Lepisosteus oculatus: one gene and its partners. The protein of the gene in region 1 interacts with the protein of each later gene in a pairwise test. Links are inferred from orthologs where the notes say so. Each region holds a gene or a part of one and is shown in the gene's direction. Other genes may lie near its edges. The genes, in order: khdrbs3, psmf1, bahd1 and inpp5d.

Region 1 (7,008 bases):
TTTTGAAACTTGACAACAGAACAGTTTGTTTATTTTTGTGATTATTCCAAACACCCCAACATCCAATTAATGTTGTTTTTAACGAAAATATTATTTATCAATTGTTTTAAAATACATTACATGGAAGTGTTTCCAATCATGCCCAGATATACATGATTACAGCATACTGTATACAATACATCATATTAGACTTGATAGATTTAGGGTAAGTAAGACATGTGCCGTATATGACTGTAATACTCTAAAGACTTTAATACATACAGTATGGTTATGCAAAAACTAAACTTGTGTAAATGTCTGCCCACATCAGATCAGTTCACAGAAACGTTAATATTCAGCTCAGAAACATGTAATACCTTGCCTACCCTGATATTAATTTAATTAAAAAATAACCTGACCATTCAACTACTATTACTTTCTATGAATTTTGATTGGTTCTGTATTGGCTGGGAGGTGATGAAAAAAATGCTTTTTGTGTAAAAGATATTGCTACTACTTTTGAGATTCTATCATTTTTATTATGACTGGTATTTTCCCCCTAAAGTTCAAAAGTACAAATTTGAAAAGAACAGATGTCCCTATTGGCCAAACATCATAGTTTGGAAACCTATTAATGATGATAGTACTTTATTCTGACATCAAATCAGGATGACCCTTTGGTTGCAAAAACCTGCAGTCATAAGTCAACTTTGACCTTACCCATAAGCAATTCAGTGCAAAATGTCCTGCAGGATGTTCCTATAGTATGTGTCATTTTTCATTCAAGACATCATTTCAATGTGCTTAGGAAGATATTGTTATGTACAATAAGTTTCAATCAATTGTAATTCCTTCATATTTAACTGTTTGCTAGCTTTTACACTTACAATGTCTTCTACGATACTTGGCATTTTCAACTAGAGTTGAGTTGATGTCTTACAGTCTCTGTTTTAGTTTAGAATGAAGATGTCGAATACTTTATGATATTTCAGGATATATATTTCTAAAAAATGATAAGTTCAGTTTAGTACTTTAGAAGTAACTGAAAGTGACTTGTTTTTCACATTCACACTGTTCAAAATACACCTAAATTTAAAAGGGTTTGGAGGTTATTGGGGTTTCTTACACACAAAGGAAAAGATGTTGTTGTACAAACCAGGCTTCTGATATGGCTTAATATTTAAATGGAAACAAAATCCAACAAAAAAGTCTAAAAGAGTCAGCATTTTGTTTCCATATCTCATATCTCAAGAGATCACATAGCTATTTAATGACCAGCTCATATAAATCATTCTTTGTCTTCTATGACTGCTACATCTGTCTCTTCCAAAATCCTTTTTCAGCTTTTCGACAATATGCAAAAAAGAATCAAACCTACAACCAACTGATACTTTGTTTAATTCTTCATGTCAACAAAACCCTTGGGCTATTGGGTATACAGGTCCTGTTTGCTCTGCAAAAAAGATAACGACAGAAGCCGTAAGTTTTCAGGCAGCCCCTTTAAATACACTGCTCGGAAATATGGGATAAAAATAAAAACAACTGCCAGGAGCAGTTCTGAACAGATATTGCTCAGAATCATGTGTTACAAGTTTATTATTGAAATACAGCTTGTTGAGTAATAGCACATTTCTAATATGACATACTGCACTTGTATTAGAAATATATAAAGAGCATACATAATTTCACTATTTCTGTACTGATGAAAGGTAATACATTAATCATTTTTACTGACCTAGGATAAAGTAGCAGGTCAGTCATCCATACCTAGGATATGCTACAGGCTACTTATTATTACAGTATATCTCAACATACAGTAAGTATTTTTAAGGACATAGAAAACATTACCAGGATCAATATTTTTCTTCTTCAGAAGGAGCACTTCAAAGTGAAACAAAATGCAACATTTTAGTACTGTATGTGTTTATTTTAGAATCATTATTTAAAAAACAGCATAGTATCAACTTGATACATAATGTATAGTACAGCATACTATAGTATTGATGTTCATCTCAATTATATCCAAAGAAAGCCTGAGCCTTCTTTTAAATCCAGAGGAAAGAATGTTTTGTGTTGGTAAATGTGTTGAATGTAATCTGGACTGTTATCATTTTCAGATTGTAAAGTATCGGAAGAAAATATACAATGCTGAAGATATACGGCATAAGGTACATAGTGAAAATAAAATGTTTTTTTTAATTTCTTGTTTTATCATCTTTTATATTATACTGTATGTTTTGTACCATTTTGCAGTATTTCCTTTAAATCTTATTTATTTCATTTTCCTGATAAACATCCAACTCATAAGTACATTTTGACAATACGTCCATTATGTATTTTTTCTGAGAATTGCCTCAATATACCCTGGTAGGATTTCATTTTCTCTCCGAATATTCTCATATAACATACAAGGACATCTGTTTTGATAAGTGCATTTACACATGTTCTCAAGACAGCATTTGATACCAGCTCATCCTATCCCACAGGCTAAATGGCTACATACTGAGTCACAGCAACCCAAATCTAAAGAGGATTAATTTGTATTGCTTCCATTTTAGCTTTACAACAGTTCATAATATTTTGAAAGATAAGGAGTAAAGCTTAAAATGCCACTTGGAAAGAAATTTAACTGATAAAAAAAAATAATAAGCTTATCAGTTGGACCCCAGATTCGTTCTGATGTCACATACATACCTTGGAGTACCCTAGCCACTCAGACCTCAAACAAAATTCAAGACCACTCGGCCAAAAGTCTACCCCTGAGGTTTAGGGGGATTTTAAAGCTTACAAGAGACCTTTTAAGGAGGATTCTGGCTTAGAGGCATTCAGTTATAATCACAGTTTCACAGCACTGGCTCCTCAGCCAGTGCCAAGCACATGTACCAGAACCTGTGGTCCCTCTCATACAGTACCAAGCAGGACTACTATTTCAAGAACACATCATCAGTATTGCAAAACTATCCCTTCTCGTGACAGTCTAAGCCCTGGTCATGTTCCCTGTTAGTGGGTGAACAATCCTAGGTTTGGTGAATTCTGCTTCACAATGACAGCAAGAGCTGACGTTGAATGATTAAAAAGCAATGTTTGTACAGTATGAATGCTTGGCTGCAACAACCCAGCTACCCCTGTAGTAATTTGTCTGACACATGTGCCTTAAAAAAATCAGAAGGAGAATGATAATACCATAACATGCTGATTTCCTGTATTGAATTTAAGTATATGATATGTATTCAACAAAAAAGGCTAGAATCCTTTTAGATTTGTTTACCATGAAAATAAACATTGTAATCTCATTCATAGGACTCCACATGTACTGGGTTCCCAAGTAATTTTGAATGTCTGTCTTGTTCTCTGGCACAGCAAAACACATTCTTACATTGGGGCTCAAAGGTTTCAGGGTATTATTTATACAGTAACAAAAAATGCAGAAAAAATAAATCTGATTTTCTGTCCAAGCCACCTCACATATTGTGCCATAGAAACCGACTATGAATGATAAGACTGACTGAATCTGGATTATGTAGCCTTTTATTAATTTTATACTTATAGATATCTCAACACATTATATACAGTATACACTGTATACAGTACATTATACTTAATGCAAAGCAATGTAAATGCAGAAAATTGTGCATCTACAAAAGTGAATAGAAAAACATGGTTGAGGTGATATCTCACCTGCATATTATCTGTTCAACACTTTCTCCGATGTACATGAGTTTAAAATTTAAAAAGGGGCGTCCAAATCTGTTGAACCGGACTTCAAGCGCCCTCTTGAAGTCCAGTGCAGGACCATGGACAACTCCTTTGGCTCTCTCTGCCAGTTTAAATCAATATTTTTTTTTCTCACTCCCCGCCTGTGTCTTGATTGGCATTTAAATTACAAGAACAAATGTAGGTCCGCTCAAACGGCAGCCAATCGAGGCTGGTGTTGGGATGTCCTTGCGCTGGTTGTGGAAATAACGGGAGGAGCTACTGTACAAAGCCTGTTTACAGTGGTATCTAGAGGTTGGGAAGGCTGTATTCAAAGTGTGCTCGCTGTCGATGGGATAACGGGACTGTACTTGAGCAGAACTGCCCGTGTACAATTACCACTCTCGTTAAACACAGAGAACACTGCTATGTTGTAATTTTTGTATTGAATAATAATAAAGTTATTTTTTTGCTCTTTTGCTTTTTAATTATTTTTTTTTTCCGTGGGGAAACTGAGCTAAAGAGGAATACTACTTTTGATTTTTCTTTCAAGACCTGTGTTCAACTGATCCGTTTGTGGACCGAAGGGAAAGAAGGAATGGATAGCGAGAAGTATTTGCCGGAGCTGATGGCAGAAAAGGACTCCCTCGACCCTTCTTTTCAACATTCTCTGCGGCTTTTAAATCAAGGTAAATAACCGAGAGAATAAGTATTAGTTTACCTGTCACGGTATTTGGCACGGTTCGGATGTCTTCTGCTTAGCAGTAGTGGTTAGTATGAGAAGTGTGATAACATTTAAGGCAACAGTCGAGTGCTTACGCGGACAGCTATTCAAGTTTTTCAGTCAGGGATGGACAACAACCCTAAGCGCTCTTTCTGTTATCTCTGTCCTTGAAAGCACTTAGGCTTGTATAGCCACAGTATGTTGTTTACCTCCAGCAGCATCTCAAGTTCCGTGCATTTCTCAAAACGTGACTTTTCACATATGGCAGAAAGAAATGAGGTACAGTATAACAACACCGGTAAACATTTGGCTGGTTTAGAGATCGAGTAAACTGGAATATTAAAAACATTATTACTACTACAGTATACTATTACTATTGCTTATAATCAAGTGCAGTTAAATTACAGCAGTTTTGAAATAGCCAGGTCTTATAAACGAAGACATACAATGTGTTTCGTTGATACTGCAAGGTAAGAATGTATGCAGATACTATTAATTTCGAGATATTGCATTTTAAATACAGTTTGCCTCCACGCTTATTGTTGGATACCTGAATATTTCATGGTTCAGCATTCCTTACTTCCATCACATCTCAGCTTGTCTCTTTTTGGGAGACATAACTAAATGTGCCGAATGCAGACAGTATCATAAATACTGTATCATTTACTTTGCTTGTTGTGACGAGGAAGCGCTGACTGGAGTATGTTACAGCACTCTTGTTAATAGGCAATCACCTTTTGTATTTCGTTTATTTAACAATAAACCCAATAAAACGATAATGGTGCGGGCATATTTCTTACCAACAACATATTTTAAAGCGTCCCATATCCCCCAAACCAGAACATTTTACAGTTTTAAATTAATCTCTCATCACAAGGTGAAGAACCCAAATCTTACTAAGATTTAACTAATACTAATACATTTTGGCCAACGTCTGACATTCACCACATCTCCAGTATTATTGAATATAATTTATTACATTATCATCATTAAGTTTCAACAACAATAATGAGCTCTGTTTTTCTTGTTACTTTTCAAACAAAATTGATGTCAATAATATTATCATCAGAGTATTTTGTCCTAGAAAGCAGTGGTATCACTGAAAAAGAGGAGTTACATTTGTTTACTAATATTTATGCCTGAACAATAGAACTTTCACAAACAAAACATTAGAATAAAACCACTTTGCCAAGTCATAAAGAACTACTTCTCATACTGTAATAATATCTAGTCATAATGATTCATGTTGTGACGGCATGTTTTTTTTTTTGATATTATTCACTTATCATTAGAGATAAGAGTAAAATATGCCCTTTACTTACATAGTGCCAGGTAGTGTACCATAACATGCCTAAAGCTGTTAAGACTTTCTAAATTCCTGCACTTAAGTAAGAAAAAACATTAGCAACTTGTTCACTGTGCAATAAGTGTAAGTGAATTGTCTTCTCAGATTTAAGTGACTGGCTTTGGCTTGTATTCTGGATATGCTAAGCTATACAGTGTCTGACATTTGTATTGATTTCAGTAATTAACAGCTTGCCACGAGCACCATGTGGACAGATGACCAACTAGCAAGAAAACAGATATAACATACAGTATGTTTATATTCGGAGCATGAACAGGATATGTTTGTTAATTACAATTGCCAGGACAAAGTTAGGTTCCTTTAGACATGTCAAACAATCGACTTCAGATCACCCTTCTCATGATTCATATTCAAGTTCATAATGTTGCTCTCTCTATGTACAGTACTGTATCATACTTACTCAGAAAGTAGATTTTGAATTATATGTCATTGTATTCAAAAGAAAGATTCACTTGATTCAGGCACACAAAACATTGACAAGTACCTTCCAACACAGACATTTTTTTATTTTCATTTTTGTATCACTGATACAGACAAGTGGTAAAATGCTGGTTTTTCAGAAGACCTATTGCATTCAGTTTACTCTAAGATATTGTAAGTACAGTACATGCTTTTCAATTTAGACTTAAACCTGAGTTCAGTTTAAATAATGAATATATAAACAAAAGTATTCTTTATCTGACATACTTGTTTTTGTTTAAAAACACCAGTTAATAAAAACATTGTAGTGTAGAACACAAACTATGTGTGATATATAATTATAACATATATCCCAAAGCTGTGATACTGTATGTGAGTACATATTATTACTATAAATCTATCAGGATTCATCACTTTTTTGTCATCAGAGGTAAGTATTAAATGTAGTCAAAATATGTATAGTCTTAAAATACCACTAATTAAAAAAGTGAAATCACGCAAACATAATTTAGATAAAACTGAGATAAAACTTTACATGTATAATGTACATAAAGTACTAAGATATGTTTATTTTTAATGTTTTATTGCAAGCCCTCCATCTCTACTGTATATCTATAACTATTACATATACCCTCTAACAATTAGCAAGTACATCACATGTACATTCAAACTACTATGTTGCAGAAAATACTACACAATATAGTGCATTCTGTGTATTGGCACCATGCATGGTCATCATCTCAAAAGAATTCTATACTTTGTTTCTTATCTGGAAAATTAAATTCCTAAGATCTGCATTTTTCTGGATTTCACATTCCTTACATAC
Region 2 (7,121 bases), on another chromosome or scaffold:
TCAACTCTTTCAAGTCAGTGAAGAGAAGGCCTTGTGAAGATTAGCGCTACTGTACTGTTTACAAAAAACAAATAGTTTCAAGATCCGACATAATGTTTGTTATTGAACCACTAGATAACAGCTGGATTCACATCAGTAAAATCCCCAAAAAAAGTGCCGTCCTAAATATAGAATTACTTTATTTACATATTACATTACATTCTAAACCCTTAACGATTCGCACATGTGTTTTCATTACCGGGTTCGCAGGGACAAAAATGTTCGGGGGGGAAACCTTTTATTTCACTTTCTTTTTCTCTTCCGCGTGAGGGCTCTGGAACAGCAGTTCAGGCATGGTCATAGTCCGACTCCTGGCATTTCTTTTCCCTCGGCTCTCCGGCTGGCGAGCGAAGCGCTGGCTGTGCTGTGTAGGGGTGGAGGTGTCAGTGGGGTTGGCTTTGTGCCGCCTGCGCCTCACTTCTGTTTCAGGACTGCTCATTTTACTGTGGCAGGCCGCCGTCTGCTGTCACCCGTCGTGCTCCAGTGTCCAGAGGCACAGAGGAAGTAGGTGAAAATGGACACTGCCTGAGAAGAGCAGAAGGCCCAGCAGGTCAGGTTTCGGGGAGCCGGGGATCCTCCGCCAGCTGCTCACTGCCTGAAAAAAATTTGCAGCTTTAACTGCACAAGGGCATGAGAAAGGCTGACTTCATACCTATTAACTCAACCTGTTTCTGTCCTGCCTTAAGTGCCTGGTTTATTTTAAGCCCGACTCTAACTAAAAAGCAAGCTAAAACCATGTCCTGGACTGTCTCTCCCTCCTGCAGTGTGATTTAAGGCTCTCTTTAATTGGTAAGTCATCATGTACAGTAGAAGACTGGGCTCGACTGTGGTCACCACTTTACAACAACGATGATGCTACTCTGAAATCAGGCCAGAGAAGATCGAGCAGGTATGTTCCCAGGCTCAAAGGAGCAAAAAGGTAAAAGAAGTAAATATTTTAATTTCAAAAAGAAAAAAAGTGACCAGATTTAAGTATTCAAAATCCTCACAGTGAAAGATTTCAGTATTCAAAATCCTCCTGGACAACAGTGAAGCACCAAGCAGAGCACACAGGGGCAACTTAGGCAAGTGCTTCTAGAACCTAAACCAGGAGGCACTTTACACAAAGAGTCTCAGGGGTCTGGAACAAGCTGACACCCTCGCTTTCATCATGGGATGACCTGAGCAATGAGGTAATAGCAACCAAATGAGCTAGATGGGTCTCCCATTCTCACGATGAAGCCGCTATCAGGTGACTCAGCAGGCACTCATTGGTGCCATTATATACAACACAGAATCACTGTGTTTAGCCAGAACACATGTTTAACATCAGGAGAGTTTTAATGGTACTGCACTGTGTGTGTCCTGGGCTGCAGCTCCAATGATGCGCGCAGCACCTGTGAACCTGGTGCCAGGCTGCCTGGCCTCGTGCTCCTGTGGTCAGAGGTGTGCAGGAGGTAAAGGACTCCTACAGACTAAAGCAAAATGTGGAGGTCCTCCGCACGCCAGTGGAGGATCCACATGGTTTCTGGACATGGCCAATGTTTCACAGCTGCGGTTGCAGAGGAAGTTGGGCGGCAGCCAGGCTCTGACACGGCTGGAAGGCGTGATGGGCTGGTGCCAGGTCACCTCGCCCTCCCCAGGGCTGCTCCGCTGGGGCAGGATCCCGGAGGCCAGGCCTCCTTCAGCTCCGGACCCGTCTCCCAGACAGAGCTCCTTCCACACGTCAAGGAGGACCTGCCTGTCCTCATGTCCAGAAGCACACGGGGGCTGGCAGAGTCATGCAAGTGATCTAGTAAGACCATATATTGTTAATTAATTGTGCAAACAAAGAAGACAAAGTTGATGGGAATATGCTGTGTAAATGAACTTCTGTGAAATGTGTTTTAGATATCCCAGAAAGAGGAAACAGATGTTGCTATTATCATTCCATGAGATTTCAGAAAGTTTGCAAAGCCTGTGATGAAATTAGAAACCACATTCTTTAATGATTTTTTTTCAGCTTTCGTAGGATTATACTGCAGAGAAATGTAACTTTGCAGTTACTTACGTAACATGCTTATTGTCTGCTTGGGGGTTGTACGTGAATTGTGCATGTTGTCATGGCCTGGTCTCTGGAGCTCAGGCCTCTTGCACACATGCACACTCCCACCCTCCGCAGGAGACACTGCTCCTGGAGCCCTGCGCACTGACCTTGTTTCAGTGGTGGATACCTTTGCACCACTGTTACTGCTAGAGCCCACAGACATTCATGTCATTGCTAAAGCTCCTGCATTAATAGTGTTGATTATCCCTGTTTATGTAATTAAACCCTTTTTTGGCACTCCACTGGGCCCCTGTGTCACTGTTGTTCTCTGATGTCCTAAAAATAGTGATAATAAACAGCACCTTCAATGCTTCATTAATGATACTGAATGCCCAGGGTCTTCTTTATTAGTATGTGGTTAGAAATACAAAACCTGTGTGTCTTACAAGCTCCCCAGTGTATCCACTGGTTATACAAGACTCTGGTCTTACTAAATCACCGTCACAGCATGCCTGTGTAATAAAGGGCCTCAAGCAAGGGTCAATGCTAATTTATTTCAAAGAATACACATATCACTTCTGAACAAGTGAAGGTTTATTCCATACTGTAAAGAGAAGAAAAGAAACACAACCTTTCGGCTGTAGAGCCTTCTTTGGGTGTGTCCCAAAGAAGACCTAATAATAAACCTTTACTTGTTCCTTTGCAGCCTACACATGCTGATGCAGCTGCCTACTTGAGCTATCACATGTCCAGTCACTAAAAAGCATCCTTATTATTTATAGAGTCCATGTTACCAGATATTAAAAAATCAGGGATTTTAAATACTCCAGGTTTTTTTAAAATTGGGGAAAGAATATTATTTTTGAAAAATGTATAGACCCCAATCAGCCCAGCCTGCATGCCCGTAGATGGTGGTAGGAGACACACGCGGACATGCAGACTCCATTGTTGACCGTTTCTAAAACCACCCACCAGAGGGAGACAATGAGCCATGTGGCGCCACAAATCCTATAGCAGGAGAAGAACATTAGAACCGTTTCTAATGCAAGAAGACCATTCAGCTTGTTTATCTAATTTGTTATTTCTCAGCAGCTAACTGGTGTAGTTATCCTATTCCATGTTTTTTCATGAAGGAATATCAGCTACAACAACAGCATGCCTGGATAGCTCGTTCCAGACCACCACAAGCGTTCGTGTAAGGAAGTGACTCCGGTTCTCGGGTTTAAATGCGCTTTCACATAATGCCCACTTGCGTCCTCTGGTTCGTGTTTCACTGTTCATCCCGGAGGACCCCACAGCGATTCACGGGTGGGGCGGGACCCGGGGAAGTGCGGTTCTCACCCGGGCAAAAACTCCGCAGGTCAGGAGATGGGGGAGGAGCTGTTTCTCCGGGTGATTTAAGCGTGAAAAGTGGGGCTGGTTCGCACTGATACAGGGTGGAATTCAGGCAGGACATCGGCTTTAATGGTGGTCATGAATATTGGTTTAAAAGCATTCATATTAAAAATCCTACAATTTAATAATTTCAAAACTGATAGAGACTTCATTATATCCAAGTTCAATACGTTATAATTATACAAATTCAGTATTTCTTAATATTTAAATATAAATAAAACCACTTTAGCGTGCATTACATATGGTCTCATTTTCCAGAACCACGACTTCAACGCTCAACGCTGCAGGTCAACGTTGCATGAGCGAACACTGCCCTCTGTGGTTTCTGCTCTGTATTGCATGCAAAAATGACGAGTCATTAAGAGAGAAAATTATTTTTTATATAATTTAAATTTAATCTGAAATCACTTAAAAAGAGAATAAATGTTTTGAACAAGGAACAAGAGAAAACAAAATATAGCGCGTTCACAGGTAGAATGAATGTATTAACAATTAAATTTTAAATAGCACGTACAAGCAGGATAACGTCTGTTTTAGCTATATTTCATTTATTACGGGTAAGTTTGGCAATTTCCTCGGAAAAATATTGCGAGTCACACGGGAAGCGTTTTTGAAAGAAACTGAATATGCCACATTTGCCGGGCGGAACTAAAATGAACACAGGAAGTGTTTCCATCTCGGAGTTTCAACGCAGTGGGACACAGTCGCGATGGACTGCAAAACAGATGCCTGGCAGTTTCGCTTTTGTGTTTCGGTTCAGCGTTGTGTCGGTGCATACGTTCGTTGAAGATGGCAGGTTTGGAGCTCTTGTATAATTCTGTCGTCAGCAGCATCGCCTGTCCCCAGGATGCCCTGGTTTGTTTTGTGCACTGGGAGATAGTGAAAAACGGGTACAAATGCCTGGGCGTCGGAGACCAGGTATGTATGGAGGTACCTGTTCACTTTTACCTGGCTGAATTAGCAATGCGCATTCAGGGATGGAGCACAGTGCAGGCTGTACGCGTCTAGGGGTGTAACTGTTGTCAGCTGCTATTGTGGGGAGGGTATCAAAATGTGGTTAGAAAATGTTTAAAAGCGGTGGTATTTGATGTGCTCTCCAGATCACATCTTCTGCGGTAGACGCCATTCAAGAAAAACACAAGAGTGGAAAATATAATACTGGTAATAGCGCGGTGTTGTCTGGCAGACAGAACTGGCACTCTTCCGAAGTGCGTCATGCCCGTCTGATACCTGTCGTACTTGTGGGGTAGTGATGGGTGTGTGACCGTTGCAGCCGAGTAGCAGCGACCGGCAGTCGGAGCTCCTGCCGGCGGGGTGGAACAGCAGCAGCGAGCTGTACACACTGAGGTACCAGTCGGGCGACAGCGGCGAGCAGCTGCTGGTCAAGGCCGTGACCGTGGACACCACGCTCATCTTCAACGTCCTGGTACGTGCGGCTCGCTGCGTTACTGCAGCGTATCTTCACTCGCTGACTGACCACGGCTACTTCAACTTTGCTGATCCTTCTGTGTGTTTTTCTTCTTGAGGAGTAGTGAAGGCTTTTGTCTGTAACTCGTTACCGTACTCTTGCACTGAGTAATGTGTGCAGCTACAGGATTTCACGCAAGCAGGTATGAGCTGACCTGAGACTTGATTCCATAACGAATCTCAAGCTGACAGAAATGAGTGCTCTAGTTGTTTTTGCTGAAATGGGTTCTTATTTGTAGACCACTGGAAAACAGTTTTCTATCTTATTTAATTTGGGAAGTTCTAATTAATAAAATAATTAATCCCAGGGTTCCATTATATTGTGGAGACAAATGGAATAAAATCCAAGTGAAAGGAAATTGATTGAAAGGAAAGGATTGAGAAGCTTTGTTTCGGAGAGTATTATGGTTTTTTTTTTCTGTTCTGTCTTTGTTGTGTCAGGAGTCAGCTTCAGGACGTGTGTCTGATCTGACAGTGAGCCTTGGTGATTATGTGCATGCAGACAGTCTCCAGGTATTCGAGAGGTGGGTCAAACGTCTCTAGGCTGTCGTGTTGTGCTAAAAGGGCAGAGTCATGCAGGACTGAACTCTGTGTGTTAAGTGAGATTCTTTATTGCCTGTCAGACACTCTTATCTCTGCCATCTAATGACTCAGAGTTGGGCTATGAAAGGATTGGCAACTCGTTTTAAGAAATCAAAATCACTTCATTTCGCAGCAAGAATCAAGCAGAAGTTGTTTTTATCCCTGCACTCAAGACACATTAAATGACAAAATTGTAGCAAATCCAATATCAATAACAATTTTATTCAGGACTTTAAACATTAACTTTTTGGTATTTTTCCAGCATGGTATTTTTCATGGTTTTATTAATTTGTGCTACAAATAGAAATATGTTTTTCTATGATTGTGAATTGCCTGTTGCAAGAATGTTGATATTAACATGCAGCTGGTCTTTGGTGCATTTATCTATTTTGGAGAATTGCACAAAGTGTCCTGATAAATCTGGTCTCAGCAGCAAAGTGTGGTGAGTACAAAACAAGTTGCCAATCCAGGAAAGTGTTCATTGTTAAGATGGTGTGAGTGTTTCTAGTCCCTTTGTAGTACATTTGTAGAAATGTTTAGTCTTCTTCAGCAAGGAGCGTAGGAGCTGTGTCAGCAGGTGATGGGCTGATGTGGTGTTGGTTGTGATGTACTGCCTGTCTTGACAGCGTGTTCAAGAACACTGAAGAGCTGAGGAAGAAGGTGCAATCAGGGCTGTTTCCTTCAGCCTCCAAACAGAAGACTAAGCCCAGTGAGAAGGCAGAGAAGAAGGGCCTGAGGGAGAGTCCTCCATGCTTGTGGCCCGACAGAGACCCCCTCCGGATCCCCCAGAGAATTCCTCGTTCTGACCGGCAGCCCAGCTGGTAGGGCCACAGGATGGGAGCTACAACAATCGTTGCTCCGAAAGGCTGAGCTATTAAACTGTACAAAACTGCAAAAAAACATGCACTGTAAATGACGGTTCGATCTCCATTCCATAGTGCTGATGAGAAAACAGCAAACGGTATAGTATCCAATTTCCCTGCCTTAGTCACAAGCCTGTTTGCACTCGTGCTTTTACACATGGGAGTGACTGAGTCTTCCTGGGCTCGTCGAGCTCTGTGTAACACTGCTTGTGCAGGGCTGCAGGCCTGTTGAGCTGACGCATACTGCAGTGAGGCAGAGTGACTAGGAGCCTGTAATCACTCTGTGGTTTACAAGCTTCTCTGGCCAGAGCTGAGACAAACAAAATGGGCTTCTCTGACTATGGTTTGATTGATGAAGCCTTTACTGATAGCGGCTCTTAGACACTTTTTCCTGGAGTGAAGAAGCTATTTGGCTGAGACATACCCTCATCTCCGTTAAGGCTCTTTTGGAGCCTGAAATTCCACTGTTTGTAATCTTCCTGTATGGCACATGGAAGTCCAAAAAAAACAATTATCAGTTTTTATAGCCTGCTCTGATGATGTAGTGAATGTGAACTGAGTGTGTTGGGGCAATTCCCGGCTAGTAGTAATTTTCAGTACATTTTCAACTGGTGCAGTGTTTAGCATTGCTGCCTCAGTACTAGGGCTCTGGATTCAATTGTCTTGTTTGCATGCATTTCCTTTGGATGCTCCAGTTTACTCCTACAGTCCACAAACATGCTTGTAGGGTAATTGGCTTCTGGGGAAATTGGCCTTAGGGGTGAGTGTGT
Region 3 (7,959 bases), on another chromosome or scaffold:
GACTCATTACTGGTAGTGTATGACACTGCAAACTGGGCTGATCCCTACAGCCCTTCAGTTTGCTGTTAGCAATCTGACCTCTGCAGGCTCTGGGTAATCTTGATCACTTGGCACTGTTGCAGCAGGTGATCAAAAGCCTAACCCCTTCACTGCAGGTCAGTGGTGGGTCCTGCTGTAACACAAACTGAAACCCTTTCAAACCGCGGCTAAGTCGCAGGCTTACTGACAGGTCAGCGCGCACCTCCTCCTTCCGACCAGAGCTTGTCTTCCTTCTGGTCTGACACTGTCTGCCTCTCAATCAAGGGCAACTTTCCTTTTCTGTGGCCATTCTAGGCCCGTTGCAGCCTTTCTTCAAGCTGTGTCACATGACTGTCTGGTGTCTTAGTGGGCTGGCATTACAGTTACTGTGCTTGGACCTCTTCCAGGATTCTGCCTCTGAAGCCGGTTCCCTTTTGGGGAAGACTGAGCAGACTCCTTGTTCCAGGTCTTCCTTTCTCTGCTTCTTGTAACAGCCACCAAGTATGGCACAGCAGCAAGCTGTTGGACTTTCTTGTCCTGTTGGGAGTCTAGGCTCAGCCTGAATTCCTCCCAGCCGACTGCTCTCTTACAGCCCCCTCGATTACACTCAGAGGCATTACTGATTCCATGGAGAGTCTATCCTACCAGCTTTGTTCTCCTCCTGTTGAATTCAGTACTTCTTATATACATCCACTGATGCTCTCCTTAGTCAGTAGGTGCACTGACTATTGCTGCTGGCTGGGAATTGATGTAATCAGATGGAATCCAGCGTTCAGCCGGCGCTTTGACCCTTGTCTGTAACGCCCTCCTGCTGGTGGGTCCACAGGGAAAGGAGTTAAGCTGGAGGGTGGGAGGAGATGAGCAGGAACTGGTTCTCTCTTGTTCCAGAGCCAGCATAAGGCTCTCTCTACTGCCTCTCCCAGCCTTCCAACTACTCTCTTTCTGTCCCTGTCCCTCCCAGTCAGCATTCTCCACACTAATTCAGCCCAGGTGTGTCGAATTCTGCAGCACCTCCCAGTCCCTCAGCTGCCAGCTTGGCGCAGGGCCACTCCATCGCCCACGATTTGAGCCAAGATGGAGTCAACTCATGGAGCCACTATCACTACATCACAATGATATCATAGCGATAGAGTGTAAGAAATAGTTGAAGATAAAGATACTGTAGGTTACAAATGAGAAGAGGGACGTTTTTGGCAAGTGTAGATCAGTGGTTACTGGAAGTGCATTGATCCAGAGATCTAGTGAGTCCTTTTTTTAAAAAAGAAGTAATAATCTAAACTTCAACAACATGATTAGGTAGCTTGCTCCGGACCCATCAAAAGCCTTTGTGTGTAAAAGGCGCTTCCCTGAACTCAGTTCCAAACTTATTTTCCTCATAGTTTCCATGTGAGCCCTCCGAGTTGTTCTGCTGAAGAAGTCCAGTGGGTTGATATTGTTAGCGCCCTTAAGGATTTTGAGTACTTGAATTAGGTTCCCTCACAGTTTTCTCTGTTCAAGACTGAGCAGATTCAATTTGTTCAGATTGTAAGGAGGAGAACATTCCTTTCAGAACATGAATGCACCTGGTCTCTCTTTTCTCTTATTTGGACTGATTTCAGAGCGTCAGCATTTTTGTAACATGGTAACTAAAGGAACACATTCAGCTTCATGCTGTAAAGGACCAGCACAGTTTTAGCTACTTTTCTTCCCATCAGTATCATTAGCAAGATAGATGAAAGTAGTAAGAGCCTATTAAAATACAGTCCAATCATAAAGATTAATCATTTATAAGGTGGAGGTTGTTTAAATGCTACAAATCTAAGCAAACTGCACCTTTCACAAAACGTTTATGTATTTTTTCATGTTTTGTAAAGCCAAAGCATGATTTCACAACTGTAAAAGACTGTATTTGTGTATTACGTTGCAATTAAATATTGAGCAATTGAGCTTATCTGCAAAATTGAGACAATAGTTTTTGGTGACAGTTTACTATTTTTTGTCCACGGCCTTGTAATGAGAATGTCTGTACATGTTAATTTTGGCATTATTTCTTACCTATGGGTTTAAACACATTATGAAATGCCAGTGTAGTGTAGTAGGCCTTTTAATATTAATTTACTGTACTTGTGCCTCGCTGGGACTGTAATATTCGCGAAGGGTAAAACGTCAATTGCTTTTTAGCTGGATTTGCGGCGTTCTATTATAGAATTAATCTAAGCCCTGGCATTTTTAAAATGATTAAATTTGGTGAAATGTGTGAATATAGTTTAGGTTTGTAAAACCGACTGTTAGTTTTTCATCGAATTCTGTTTTTGGTTTTATTTCCCCCGACGTCCGCTATTTTCTTTGTGTTCTGGGTTTGCTCCGCTCATGAGATCAGCTGCGCTATTGATCGCAAAAATACGCACGATTTAAGACAATGCTAAACCAAGGAGTGAAGTCGCAGGAAATTAATAACCACGAACGCTGCCATTTCAGATCTGTTAATGAAACAATTTTTCAGCACTAGTCATCAAACTTTTCTTTGCCTTTCTCAATAGAAAAACGCAGTTCAGTTTTCTGTATGCGATCAAATCCTTAGTTCTGGTCGGCTTGTTCCTGCCCCTTGGTGATCTACGCATGGGAACACTGGTACCATTGATATGCAGTATCTTGTCGTGTTGCTTTGTGGAAGTTATAATTTTGGCGAGATAATAGCTCGATTGTAAATTATAGGATTCTACTAAATGAGTCGGAGACCAAGACAGTGAAATTCGCTCAGCACTTTTCCCAGCATTTGACTTAAGGATTCCGACAATTTCAGGCACAGGTTTACAATAATACCCGTAAATATATTGTCTTTTTGAGCATGCATTACAGTAACAAGTGGGGCAAAACACCTGCCGTGAGTCATAGACCCTCTGGATATTCTGCTTGTCAGTAAACCTTATAGTCTGTACTTAACCTTTTTATGTCAAATTGATATCAGAGATTGCAGTTTATTTTTAAAATAGGGTATTCTTACACACATAACCTGAGGAAGCTGAAATCGGTTTTCAAGTTATATGGCTGCAAGTAGATACGGCCAAGATGCCCAAGATGTAGTTCTGTATGCAGTTGTCGGAACGTTGGAAAACGATTGCGATCTTGTTCAGTTACAATTAATTTATTAATCACGTTGTTACTTCACGACAAACGTGTTTCTAGACTGTATCCCTTTTATTGTAAACAGTTAAAACCACACCAAATGCAGAATTGTTGTATTTTTGTATTTATACAAATATAAGATTTTCAATTTTCCATGTGTTGTATAATTCCCATTCTTTGTAATTTGGGCCTTGTGTGTTACCTTCATTCTGTCTGACTACCAGCTCCTTAAAACAAATAGCCTGGATGTCGGGATCAGTACTGGGTGACAAAATCCGCACATGAATTTCATGAATTTCATTAAGATGAAGACGAATATGATTCCGATTTGTTGGGTGGATTAAAATCAAAATAAACCGACATCACAGGCAAATACAGGATTTTCAAAACTTCAAACGATCAAATCATTTTAGGGGACGCATTGGGGTCCGGCTGGGTTTTCCCTTAGTTGAAGAGTCAAAATCGTGAAACGTGGAATAAATCAGCTTTGATTCATCCTGTAAATTCTGATGATTCAGGCACCACGCCCTTCCCGTCAGTGTAGGCTTAACTCACGGAAACCTGCAGGTCGTTTAATCTGCGGATCTGTTGCTAGTTTTGACCAGGAATTTGCTCTTTGATGTCCTTTAAACAAATCTTATAATTGGCGAAAAAACGTTTTTTTTTTATTTTTCTATGTTGACAATAAAGAATGAAAAAACTTTTTCTTAACACAAGGATAACATCCAGTTTCTATGAACTGCACGTTAACACAAGGGAAGTGTGGCATTTTGTTTGAATCGTGGTGTTTTTTTTTTTACTTTACTGCATGCTAAATCATTCGCTTGATCACGCAAATTGTGACAGAATTCCTTTGTTCTCAAGCATGTGTGAAACCCAGGAGTTACTTATTTAAGGTCGTTGTTACTGCAGTTACATTTTTGAGACGGGTAAAATGTGTACAAGGAGTGTATTCTCCAGCCAGTTAAACGAAATGCATAAAACTCTTTACAGTTTTAATGCTTAATGCTTTACTAGACTAACAGCTTTTAGGTTGATGTGGGTATTGTACGGCTAATTAGAAATATGTCATGTCATCTTGTTCTAGGAGGTAAATTTGTGCAGGCGGAGTAATTAACAAAGATTTTGACAGCACCTGAATGAGAGTACTGAGGATTTGAGCACGGCCGCTTTTAAGAGGAAAGAAGTGCACCTGTGCATTTGTCTTCATTTAATTCACCGAACTACGAAAAATAAACCATTGATCGATCGTTTTAGATTGTTGAAACACAAGGGACTGCAAAGGGTGTAATGTGGCTCTTAACCATTATAAAAGAAAAAGATCTTTAATACCAACTAAAAGCGTTAAGGTTTCAACCTCAGTATTTAAACGAGTGAGCCACAAGATGTTCATTTCAAGCATTTCATTCATTGCTTGTATTTTAATTTGGGGGTATTGATCCCTAAAATACAAGTAGATTAGTGGTCAAATAATGTCAATTTAACGGTGAAACCAACTAATATGGCCTTGTTGCAGCTACCCTTGTTTCCTTTTAAGCTGTGAGGTGATCCGATTATGATGAAGATTATGAGGTTGATGAAGATGATGATGGATCTTGCACCATTGAGGTTTCTCCGCCGTGCGGGCGCTTTAAGGAACACAGAAAAGAGAGACCAGAGCCGAAGAAGAAGCCGAGCGATGGAGGGTGGATTCTAAAATAACTTGTATTAAAGAAGAGAGAAAAAGTAAAATGTCACGTTGTGATTGGCGGGTAGGGATGTCAGACGCTGTGCGTGTGCGGCCCAATTGGCCGAGATGAAGTTTTATTAAAATCAGAGCTTCTCCGATTGGAGCCCTAATCAGGAAGAAGGAATCGAGCTTCGTTTTGCACTTTTGGCTGCACGGAACTTTCAGATTAAAATCCATATAAAATCTGTCATTTTGACTCTCTTTCGAGGTTTTCCGATGGGAGGGACGCGGTAACTTTTAGCAAAGGAAGCACGATGATATCGGTGGATTGGATACTGTAACGACGAGCATCGCATTTTACTCAGCAAGGAAAATTCCGACGATCAAGGGGGAATGCAAAACGTTTTTTTTTCCGAAGGTACTAGCAGCTGACTGTGAAAGCGACAACTTAATTGTGCTACATCTTCATACCAGACCTTAACCGTTAGCTGCATGTGATGCTGGTATCTAGAAGCAACCAAAGTTAATGTATTTTAATTTAAAAGATGAGCCTTAAAATGCCAGGCTGCAACAGCAGGTTTCGCGAATGCAGCGCATGAATATTATCTTGAAGCATGCTACTTCGGAAGTAGGTCACCGTTTTATACGTCTTGTCAATTGTGAGATTTTTTTGCTTCACGTTACGAAGCAAAGAAATACCATAGCTAATCTGTTGGAAGAGGGGAGCAGAGCCATCTTTTCACATCCCCGCCGAAACTTCGTGATGTTTTAACAGGTAAAAATATAACCCATATTTTTTGTTCTTTTATTTGTATTTAAATATTTTGATCCACGTTGATATGTACTCTGGAGGCAATAGCATATATTTCAGAATAGCATTTGATAGAATGGGAGTCGATGTGCCTTTAAATTTTTTATGCATGTTTTATTGTGTAACCTTTAGAATTTATTAGAATCTAAAGCGAGTTCAACCAGTACAGTCCAATATACTGTACAGTAGATACTGAGAAAGTGTTGCTGGTCTTCATCATTTTAGCTCGACTTCAGCACCACAAAAAGTACATTATTCACCAGAGTAATCCACATAATTGCATTTGCAGTAATTGATGTATTTTCGATACGGTCAGCTGTCTGGTTTCGAACCGACTGTATGTTTGAATGGCATTTACATCATTCTAGGTCCTGGGTGATACGCGCCTCGTAGGGTTCTGGAAATAAAGAATTGGTTTTCTACGATCCGCCCAGCAGAACCGCTTCTGCTTCTGTTTTTCATGGTCATCTTAGTTTGAATGCATGTACATTATCGCTCATCCCCGAAATGCAAACACGACTGGACAAAACCTTTTCCCATCCCCCCGTTTAATCTTTCTCCCATATGTTTATGACTTTAACCTTCGTTACTTATTATCGACACCTGCTGAGAAGGAAGGCCGAGACTAAACAGTTACAGACACATGCTTTTCCTAGAAGCGAAATACTGTACGTCAGATTAAGGAAGGAATGACTGCTCTTTAAGTACCGTAGATTGCAATATGATCAGAGCATTTCTGCGTATAACTCTGTTTTATTCGCAAAACTATGGAGATTCAAGAGCAGAGTTTTAATCTATGTTTATTCTGATCTTCTGCAATATGTTTATTCTACGGTGAGTTGCTCGGAAACAAAAAAAATATTTTCTCTTTAAAACGGCACGTGTTAGTCCTACAAAAAGTATGAAATTTGAATAGTCGAAGTTATCGTTGCTTGAACGCGCGAACGCAATTATTCATTGAGATGATGGACGGCGATTTCATTTTTGCGTTTGTTCAGAACTCTTTCATACCACTTTTTCCAAATCTAGGGTTATAATGAACGTAATAAGCATACATTTACATTTTAACTGCGGTAAGCTGGTTCCATGGTTTTGTATACGCCGAATGCGGTCGGTGTCGTTTGATTGTTTAGTTTCTCAGGTGATCATTTGGTTGCAATTCTCCGTTCTCTGTTCAAACCGCGGTTTACAGTTGTGATAGGTAAATGATGGGCGAGTCGCGTGTCACCACATGCAGGAGCACTTCAGCTAGTCTGTCATGAACTGGGGAGGAGACCAAATGTAGTTCTTCACACCTTCGCAGAAAACGTACTTGGAAACTTTAAAAGCGCGACAAATGCTATTGGTTCCAATACAATGGACATTTGTTGCGTTTTAATTTCTCTTCGTGTCTAAGTATGATAATTCGCAAACCCTCAGAAACCTATGGTACTGTATATTTGCTCTTATCTGCACAACTACGGTACACCTCTTCATTCTCACGGAAGCCCCCAGCAGCTCTGTTAACCTGTAGATAACCTTTGGCTGCGTCTTTGCTGTGTTGCCTAAGGCATATTAAAGAGTTTTAATGGTTCAGTGGTCTTTGAGGCGAGACGTGTTAACATGTGTTGTAGAATAGCTGCTACTACTTTTACAATTATATTTCCTTGTTTCACCTGCAACTGTTTTGTGAAAAAGTGTTCTGCTACTGCACATCTGCTTGGCTTTGTAATGTGTTTTGTGCTGTGTGGGTTTTGTTTCTCCTGAATTATGTTATCACAGTATTTTTGTGGTGTTGAAAGATACTGAGTAGTTCATGATATTTGCACTGACCATGAGATATTCTCTCACAAATGTGGACAGGGACACAGCTTATTAAAGTGTTATCAGAAGAGATACACTAGAATCCAGCCTAATTTCTCATAGAGGTTACAGTTAAATATCTGGAGACCATTATCGTCCTGTTCTGATGAATGATTTGTGGAAGTGTATGAAGAGGGTTTAATATCTTGGCATCCTGAAAAAAATTAACAGTTAATGGAATGATAACAAATATCTAAACTTTGAGCCATTTATGTTGTGAACCTATATTCTCACTGAACAATTAATGCTGAGGTTCCAAAATACTTTATTTCCTTTTTTAACATGCTTTCAACGAACGGCAGATATCTGTCACAAGTTTGTTTTTTGCCATAAGATGTGAAAAGCAATAATAGACATGTACCAAATCAGCATAAACATGCCTTGTTACTGTCAATCAAATTACTTTGATCTTTGCTGCTGACAGACACAGAAATTTGTAGTTTTTTTACACTCTAACTATATGGACTTTTTTTTTTTACTGAATTCTTTCATGGTTCAGTAGATCAAAAAATCT
Region 4 (7,600 bases), on another chromosome or scaffold:
CTTTTGCAAGACTGTAGCTAAACATACCTTTTTTCTACTTTATGATATAATGTATTAAAACATTTTTGTGAGAATATCAATGTGTAAGCATACATAACAAATAGTTAATACTTACATTAACTAGTGAATACTATTACATGATACAACAACCATAGAAAAAATATGTACATTATATTAAAATACTAAACATTAAAAATAAAGTTTGCATTACATAAAACAATACAATGAAAAGCAGAGCAATGACATTGATATATAATGCAGTATGAAGAATAAAGTCTTGAGTAGGCACCAGTAGGTGATCAAACATGTTGCAGTCCTGATATTTCTAGGGATCTGGTTCCAGCTCAGAACAAGGCAAGTAAAAAGCAGGAGCAAGTGACTAGCAGAAATTGAGACGTGATAGCAGATACTGAGAAGAGAGATTGCACACAGGAAGTAGCAGACTGACAAACCAAATGGTAGGTAAGAAAGTTGACCTTAAACTGGAATAATTGAATTGTTATTGGGCTTGTTGTTTGTGCAAGTGCATGTATTTACACGTTTGAAAGGAAAATAATCAAAAATCCTGCAATACAGCAATGCTGAATCAAATTAAAAATAACATAATGCAAAAACAAATCAAAATTCTTACCCAGGAGGTTTATTTCTCTTCCCCACTGATGTGTGGTGAGGGTTCTGGCGCACTATGGCTGCCGTCGCATCATCCAGGTGGATGCTGCACACTGGTGGTGGTGGAGGGGAGTCCCCATTACCTGTAAAGTGCTTTGAGTGGAGTGTTCAGAAAAGCGCTATATAAGTGTAAGCAGTTATTATGAATTATTATTATTTCACCTTTAAAGAAAGCGTTTCCACTCCCTAAACAAATTAATGAGTCATGTACTCCTAACACCTTAGGTATTACATACTTTTTTTTTCTCAAAAATCCATTAACCATAGATAATCATAGTTATCTGCTTTATGTGTGATTTCTTGCATTTATTTAACAGATTTGCACAAAATCTTTTGTATCACACAAATGGGACATTCTGTATTCCAGAAAGAAGACCCAAAGAATATGGAGGACTGCTGGGAAAAACTTGAAGGTAATATTTATCTCTTTGATTTTATAAATGGATCTTAAATAATCCTTATATTAGGTATTTTCTTAATTTCTTGAATTACACAAAGCTTAAAGGAGCCAGTTATTTAATGAACACTAACTCATTTCATGCTTGCTGCACACATTATTGTGCGATCACAACCTGTTGTTGTGTTTAGGTTAAATACATACAAGACTCTGACTACAAATTCATGAAGAAATCACCTTTGTTAAGTAGAAGCTTGAAGTTTGTCCAATCGCTGAGAATGCTCATAAATATCCTTATCACTTAATTTCCACTTTGCATCTTCCCCCAGCTTACAGTATCACTAAAATGTTTCTGTTGTGCAAATTCCTGCACTTGGCCTTGACAAATCTTGGCAGATGCCAATTTTATGGAATGTTTGTTTTCATGATGAATACATTTTTGGAGAAAAAAGAACATAGAAACTTAAAATATGTAATATCCAGACACCACAAATTCTTGGTAAATTTATGTTACATTCCCGGTTATTTGTGCACGTGATTTTGCTGTGTATGCGATCGGGACAGCAGATTGACAGTCTACTTCCTGATATCTAGACAGAATTGCTGTGCACAATATACTGTTGTTCTGCATTGTTCGATTCATTCACTTATTTTTTTATTTTCCAACATTCAGTCTTCAAGTTTCATTTTGGAAGGTCACATTTTACAAACAGCATGATTCATATCTGTAATGCATAATCAACTGAAATGAATGCAGTTGAGTAAACTGAGCAGTCGGGAGGGAACTATTTGCATTGCTGATACTTGTTACAAAATGCTGTGTCTTCAGTCTGTGCAGTGGCATATTAGCTGGGACACAACACTGAGAGGCAGTGGAGGGTGGAAATCCCCTGACTTAGATGTGTGTATGAGACTTGGACTTTCTTGAGTCATGTGACTCAAAGTGTGGTATGTCAGCAGATTGGGTTTGTGCAACACTTCCTGTCCATAGCACTTTCTGAAAATGCAGGGCATCCTCTTATGTTCTCCTCAGAGCTGTGGGCTGTAGAGAGGGGGGGATCCTGTCTAAGAATACACCAGAGAATCTAGCTAAATGTGAAAATGATACATTGAACAATCCAAGCGTCTTGATATTCTCAGTTACTTTAGCTGCTACTTGTGTGAGTGGGTGTAAATATACAGGTATTAGGTATCCTGCATCTGCACCAGTGCTATTTAGTGTATTACAGAAGTCTGAATGTGCAGTGTTTATATCTAACAAAGATCCTTCCTGCAATTTTAGATTCTGTTTGGACAGTTTAGTAACAGGACAGAGTTACGTAACTCCATAAAAGTCATGTTCATATTACACATTAGTATTAGAGCTCACTTTCACAAGTTAGAGGCAAACTTGATTAAAAATGTATTTTTAAGCCACTGTCAAACCTTTAACCTTCCTCCATCACCACCCATCTCAAATTCCAAACCCTGATGCCAGGTTTCCATTGCTGAGAAGGAATAGCTCCCTTGCAAATAAAAATCCTCAAGCACGGGTTTATAATTTCGTATTGTTAGCTGATTCTTTTCTGATTTGGGCTAGGCCTAAGGACAAAGTCACAATAGAGTTTTCATTGACTCTGTCAGTTGTTTCTAATTAGAGTTCCGTAAACCGGAACACAAGACTTCTGCACAGCATCTCTTGTCACCTCCTAAGAAGGTGTCACTGTGGCTTTGAAACATCAGACAGATGTATTGTTTTTTGGTTTGTGTTTTTGTGATGTTTAACCCATCTGCTTTCTTTGCAGTAAATGTACATTCAGCTGAGAGTGCAAATACATACCTTCTGAGATTTTTTGCAAGGGTTTATGAAACTCTCACAATCTATTCCTGGTGAATATTTCATTGCACATTTTCTACTTTTTTCTAGATACATTTCTCAAGGCTATGACGTGTGTGCACAGTCCTCTTCCTGCTACTCTTCAAACACAACTGAAGGTGACGAACAATGATGGGTCACAGGCCTTCTGTGGTTCTGCACTAATGCAAGAACATTGTATAAGGTTTTAGCATTGAAATTTCCCTTTTTATGACATGCATGTTTTATATTTATCTAAGTGTTATTTTTAATTTTCTGATGCTATTTCTGTTCATTATTTGCCTTTATTAACAGCTCTTTCTGAAAGTCACATCCACTTTAAGTCATCTTAAAATTCATTTTATGAAAGTGTATTGGGCAAACAAATAGGATCTTAAAAACCTATAAAGTCCATAGAAGGAGAGAGGTACAGTGGCATAAATATATGCCCCCTTGCTATTTCCTCCTCTCGAACTTTGATAGGGTTACTAAGACCCTGCTGATTGCTGGAACTCTAAGGACACACATAGAGTAACAATATAATCAGAATTAGAAAAATAAAAGTAACAGGACATGACATATTATATAAGGTTGGCAGAGTGACATAGAAATTAGTGCTGTTGCCTCACTCATAGGATTTTTGGTTGGGTGTTTATTTTAGGCTTGCAAAGGTTTCCTCTAGGTGATCTTGTTTCCTCTTATCTTGCAGAGCTGTGTGTGGTTCATGGGTGCCTCTCAACTGTTCATGTGTATGCGTGCCCGACGATGGACTGGTGTCTCTTGCTCGAGGTCTTGTCCCACTTGTAACCTACAGGTACATTTCCAGGAGAGGTTCCTAATTGTGAAAATCCTTACCAGCAGGTACAATATGTCGTTTTTACTTGCAAATGGGAAGCCAAAAAGTTAACAGCCTCTCTGGATTACTGGTTCTGATTGTCGCAAAGCAAGACACTCATTATTGAAAGTAATGCATGCCCGGTGCTGAAAAATATGGGTGACTCACCATAAGACCCCATGTTTGCTGCAGAAGGAAGTGTAGATTGAAACAAAACAAATGAACAATTACATAACCAAAGGAACATTTTGAATGTTATTTTATTACCTTATTATGAACCATTATTTATAAAAATTATAGTTTGTCTAAAATAAATAATTGAATCATCTTCATGCTCTGAGACAAGGGAGGTCTTGAAATGTACTGTTTCACTAATAAACAAGCATGGCACAGGTGCTTTGAGATGGTGCTTCAGACATATTAACACATGGGGCACATGGCTTCCTTTTCATGCAAGAGCTGGCCTGGAGGATATTAAACCATCAGTTTCCATCATGGCAGAGACAAGTCAGTAATGTTTCATGTAAGAGTTGTTACACTCTTAGATTTCTACAAAATAATTCAACAAACAATTGGTTTGCATCTATTTTTCTGTTGCACATCCTGTGTATGAATTGGTATTATGTGAAATAAGGCCTGTTATTGTCCTGATAGTGATAGCAGTTTGTTTTTACCAGGTATTTTACCACCTAACTGTATGCTCACACTTGTGTGAACAAGAAAGATGTGAAGCTTTGCAGCTCTTTTGCTGCTTCTCGCTCTGAACTGAGAATGAGGAAGTTCAAAATTGTGTTTGTGGCTGCTTCCTCCTCTAACAGCTTTCGCCTCTTGAACAGGAAGAGAGAAGAGAGAGAGACCAAAATGAATTCAACCAGCTAGCTGGTCTGAATTCACCCAGACGTTCTTCTGCGTATTTTGTAACCAACTTCAAAATACAAAATAGAAACTCAACCAAACCATCAGAAAAAAGTCAGAGGCTGGAATGGCAACCTTTCAGCCTTGGTACCATGGTAATATTACCCGCTCCAAAGCTGAGGACTTGCTTTCCAAAGCAGCAAAGGATGGTAGCTTTCTACTCCGAGACAGCGAATCTATTCCAGGAGCATACGCCCTCTGCGTACTGTAAGTAGTTCTTTTTTAAAGTCTATCAAGTTCTTTGCAGTTTCTTATTGTAATAGTGAATTTATACAACCCCCCAGGTGATAAGAGCAAGGGTGAGTGCCTATGATTAGTAAAGACCGACCCCTCCCTTGGCACCCATACAATCTAGTGCCTTTTATGTTTACAGAATTAGTGATAACCCCCGGGTCGACCTTGGCATCCATTTGAACTGGGCAGAGAGCTTAAAGAAACTGTTACTGACACAATATTGTGAGAGTGTTTCCTGCATCATTGACTTCAACCTTGTTCAAAGAGACCACAACCTTGTAAACATGACTAGAGAAAAATTAAGATTCACCTGTTATTAGTTTACATTGTACGCGGGACTAGATATAGCAAGCATATCTAGACCCCCTTTGTATTTGGCACTAATATCTTTAATTAAAGCCATTGGATCTTCCTGGAATCTTTTGTTTTCATTGCTTTCACTGCAGCCTCAGCTGCAGTTACAGAATCACATTAGTTTGATAATCCGAGGAATTCAGGATCGCCTGAATTCCTCGGCTCCAATTTTTCTTTTTCTTTGCAATAATACTAGATTCCCTTATATGCACATTGGGAAGTACAGCGCAGAAAATATACCAATATAAGATGCAAAATGCACCCAAGATGGTTTATATTTTTATTTCTAAAAGGTTATGAATATGACATCAGTTTGTAGCTGGTCATTTGACCATCAGTTTTGCATTTTTTTCTCTTCAGATAACGTTCTAACAGTGTTTAAAAGTGCACATCTTGTCAGTTGGTTTTAGCTCTTGTAAAACATCAAACATATTGATTAAATGACTGGTTTTCATGTAACACTAAAATTGTTGTGTAATGTGTTGCTTAATTAAAAATTTCTATAGACATTTTTTTATAGTTAGAGGTTGCAAATTGATCCAGAGTGGCATTATCTGTTGTTGGCATAGGGATCTGCATCAGCATGTGTAGGCTACAAAGGACCAGGTAAAGGTTGCTGAAAGGTAAAGAGAAGAATAACACATTTCAGATGTGGAGGCTTCTTCCATTTGTGATGACACAATCAGAAACGTGTTTTTCAGCTTTTTATAAAAAGCTACAACAATTTAACTGGCAAACAGTGTCAATCAAAATTTAATTTCTGGTTGTTTTCTGTATTTTTTCAAAATCATTTGTGATTTAGTGACATTGGGTACTAGTTACAGTTACTTTGCTTCAGCTGGATACTACAAGTTGTTTCAAAATTTCTGATCATTATATATTACGTAGGTCATCTGCTTCTGAAGCCTTGATCAGAGTATAGAGCACGTTGGCTCTTGCAAACCAAGACCACAGAACAGAATATTAATGCTTAAAACCTTGACCATAGTATATAATGTAGGACATTCAGTCCCAAACGCATTTCAATTTTCTTATTCAGTAAATTCAAGAATGCATCATTCTTCTTTTAACTAAAGTTCCAACAATTCTATTATACTGTACTGCAGCCTATGGCATTAGGCAGTCAAAAGCTTCTGCTGATCAGCGGCTTCTCCCCATTCACTTCTCTTGATCAGGAGTAATTGCCATCTAAAGTAATGAGACCTAGCTCAAAGTGCCATGGACGTGTCACTTCAGTTTTTCACCCATAAAATGAATGTGAAGATGAGGTTCTCTCTCTGCTGTCCCTTACTAAGGTTTATTTCTGGACTTCAGAAAGAGAATCATTCTTGCAGCTTGGTCCAGTGGTCTCAGTGTACTGCAGGTTGTTTCACTAAAACCTCAGTACTTTAAAGGATTTAGATGTTTATGTACTGTATGAACCTTGGACTGGTGTCCTATCCAGGGTGTACCCTGCTTGCTGTGGTTCCCCCACATCTCTAAGGTGGAAGAAGTGGTTAGAAAATGAATGGATGGGATGTACCCACAAAGACACAAGAAATAAAGTGGAGGTATACTGTACTTCCTCATGTCTGTTGGCTCCAAGTGGTACACTGTGTGTATCTACCTGATGAAGATTCTTATGTGAGCTCCATTTTGTGCATTGGTTTTTCAGTTGTATATCTCTATGTCACAACTTCTGATTTTATCGCTGTAGGCTTTCATATTTCATATAGATATACAATTTTGTTCCATCTCATGCTCCATCTTTAACCTGATGTTGAATTTTTAACACAGGTTTGTAAAATTGTAATGCGTTACTTGAGCTTGTTGAACAATATTACATATCAAGATCTGAACAACCAATCTGACCTGAACCCACATATTGTATGCACAATTATCCATGCATGACCTTTCTCTTTATCTCTCTGACACACACACGTAAAAATATAAGAAAGGTTAAAAATGAAAGAAGGTCATTTATCTCAACAAGGTTATTTGGTACCCAGGGTCTAATTGGTTCAAGGATAACATCCAGGCATTTCTTCAAATAAGTCAGATTATAATCAATAACGTGGCTGGGAAGCTTGTTCCAGACTCCCACAACACTTTCTGTATAAACGTGTCTCTCATTCTCAGTTTTATAAGCACTTCCCCAGAGTTTCCACAACGTCCTCTGTCTCGTTTTTCGCTATTAATTCTTAACCTGCATACTGTAAGCATTCACTTCGTCAATGCCTTTGAGTACAATATTTAGAGCATATTCGAATCAGTTCTCCTTTTTCTGTTAGAGAGAACAAAGTCAAGTTCTTTAACTCTGTCCTTTAAATTAAAAATAAATATTTTTTCTCTTTTTGAACTGATTCCTCAGCAGCATTTTACA

The links.
Region 2: the proteins of khdrbs3 (region 1) and psmf1 interact in a two-hybrid assay, tested with the Homo sapiens proteins (2 studies listed by BioGRID and IntAct). The link is inferred for Lepisosteus oculatus from reciprocal best matches to the Homo sapiens genes KHDRBS3 and PSMF1.
Region 3: the proteins of khdrbs3 (region 1) and bahd1 interact in binary tests that used the Homo sapiens proteins (3 or more experiments, as listed by UniProt). The two-hybrid records come from large-scale screens. The link is inferred for Lepisosteus oculatus from reciprocal best matches to the Homo sapiens genes KHDRBS3 and BAHD1.
Region 4: the proteins of khdrbs3 (region 1) and inpp5d interact in binary tests that used the Homo sapiens proteins (3 or more experiments, as listed by UniProt). The two-hybrid records come from large-scale screens. The link is inferred for Lepisosteus oculatus from reciprocal best matches to the Homo sapiens genes KHDRBS3 and INPP5D.

What each region holds. Positions count from the first base shown.
Region 1 is NC_090705.1:35,523,912-35,530,919, reverse strand, and holds the start of khdrbs3 (KH domain-containing, RNA-binding, signal transduction-associated protein 3), read left to right. Parts: upstream 1-3,994; 5' UTR 3,995-4,270; coding exon 4,271-4,361; intron 4,362-7,008. UniProt on the Homo sapiens protein: RNA-binding protein that plays a role in the regulation of alternative splicing and influences mRNA splice site selection and exon inclusion. Binds preferentially to the 5'-[AU]UAAA-3' motif in vitro.
Region 2 is NC_090711.1:643,242-650,362, forward strand, and holds the start of psmf1 (proteasome inhibitor PI31 subunit), read left to right. Parts: upstream 1-4,119; 5' UTR 4,120-4,228; coding exon 4,229-4,357; intron 4,358-4,712; coding exon 4,713-4,865; intron 4,866-5,347; coding exon 5,348-5,430; intron 5,431-6,114; coding exon 6,115-6,309; intron 6,310-7,121. UniProt on the Homo sapiens protein: Plays an important role in control of proteasome function. Inhibits the hydrolysis of protein and peptide substrates by the 20S proteasome. Also inhibits the activation of the proteasome by the proteasome regulatory proteins PA700 and PA28.
Region 3 is NC_090703.1:12,318,292-12,326,250, reverse strand, and holds the start of bahd1 (bromo adjacent homology domain-containing 1 protein), read left to right. Parts: upstream 1-4,956; 5' UTR 4,957-5,185; coding exon 5,186-5,210; exon of another isoform or gene 5,211-5,567; intron 5,568-7,959.
Region 4 is NC_090708.1:10,189,968-10,197,567, forward strand, and holds the start of inpp5d (phosphatidylinositol 3,4,5-trisphosphate 5-phosphatase 1), read left to right. Parts: upstream 1-4,591; 5' UTR 4,592-4,717; coding exon 4,718-4,857; intron 4,858-7,600. UniProt on the Homo sapiens protein: Phosphatidylinositol (PtdIns) phosphatase that specifically hydrolyzes the 5-phosphate of phosphatidylinositol-3,4,5-trisphosphate (PtdIns(3,4,5)P3) to produce PtdIns(3,4)P2, thereby negatively regulating the PI3K (phosphoinositide 3-kinase) pathways.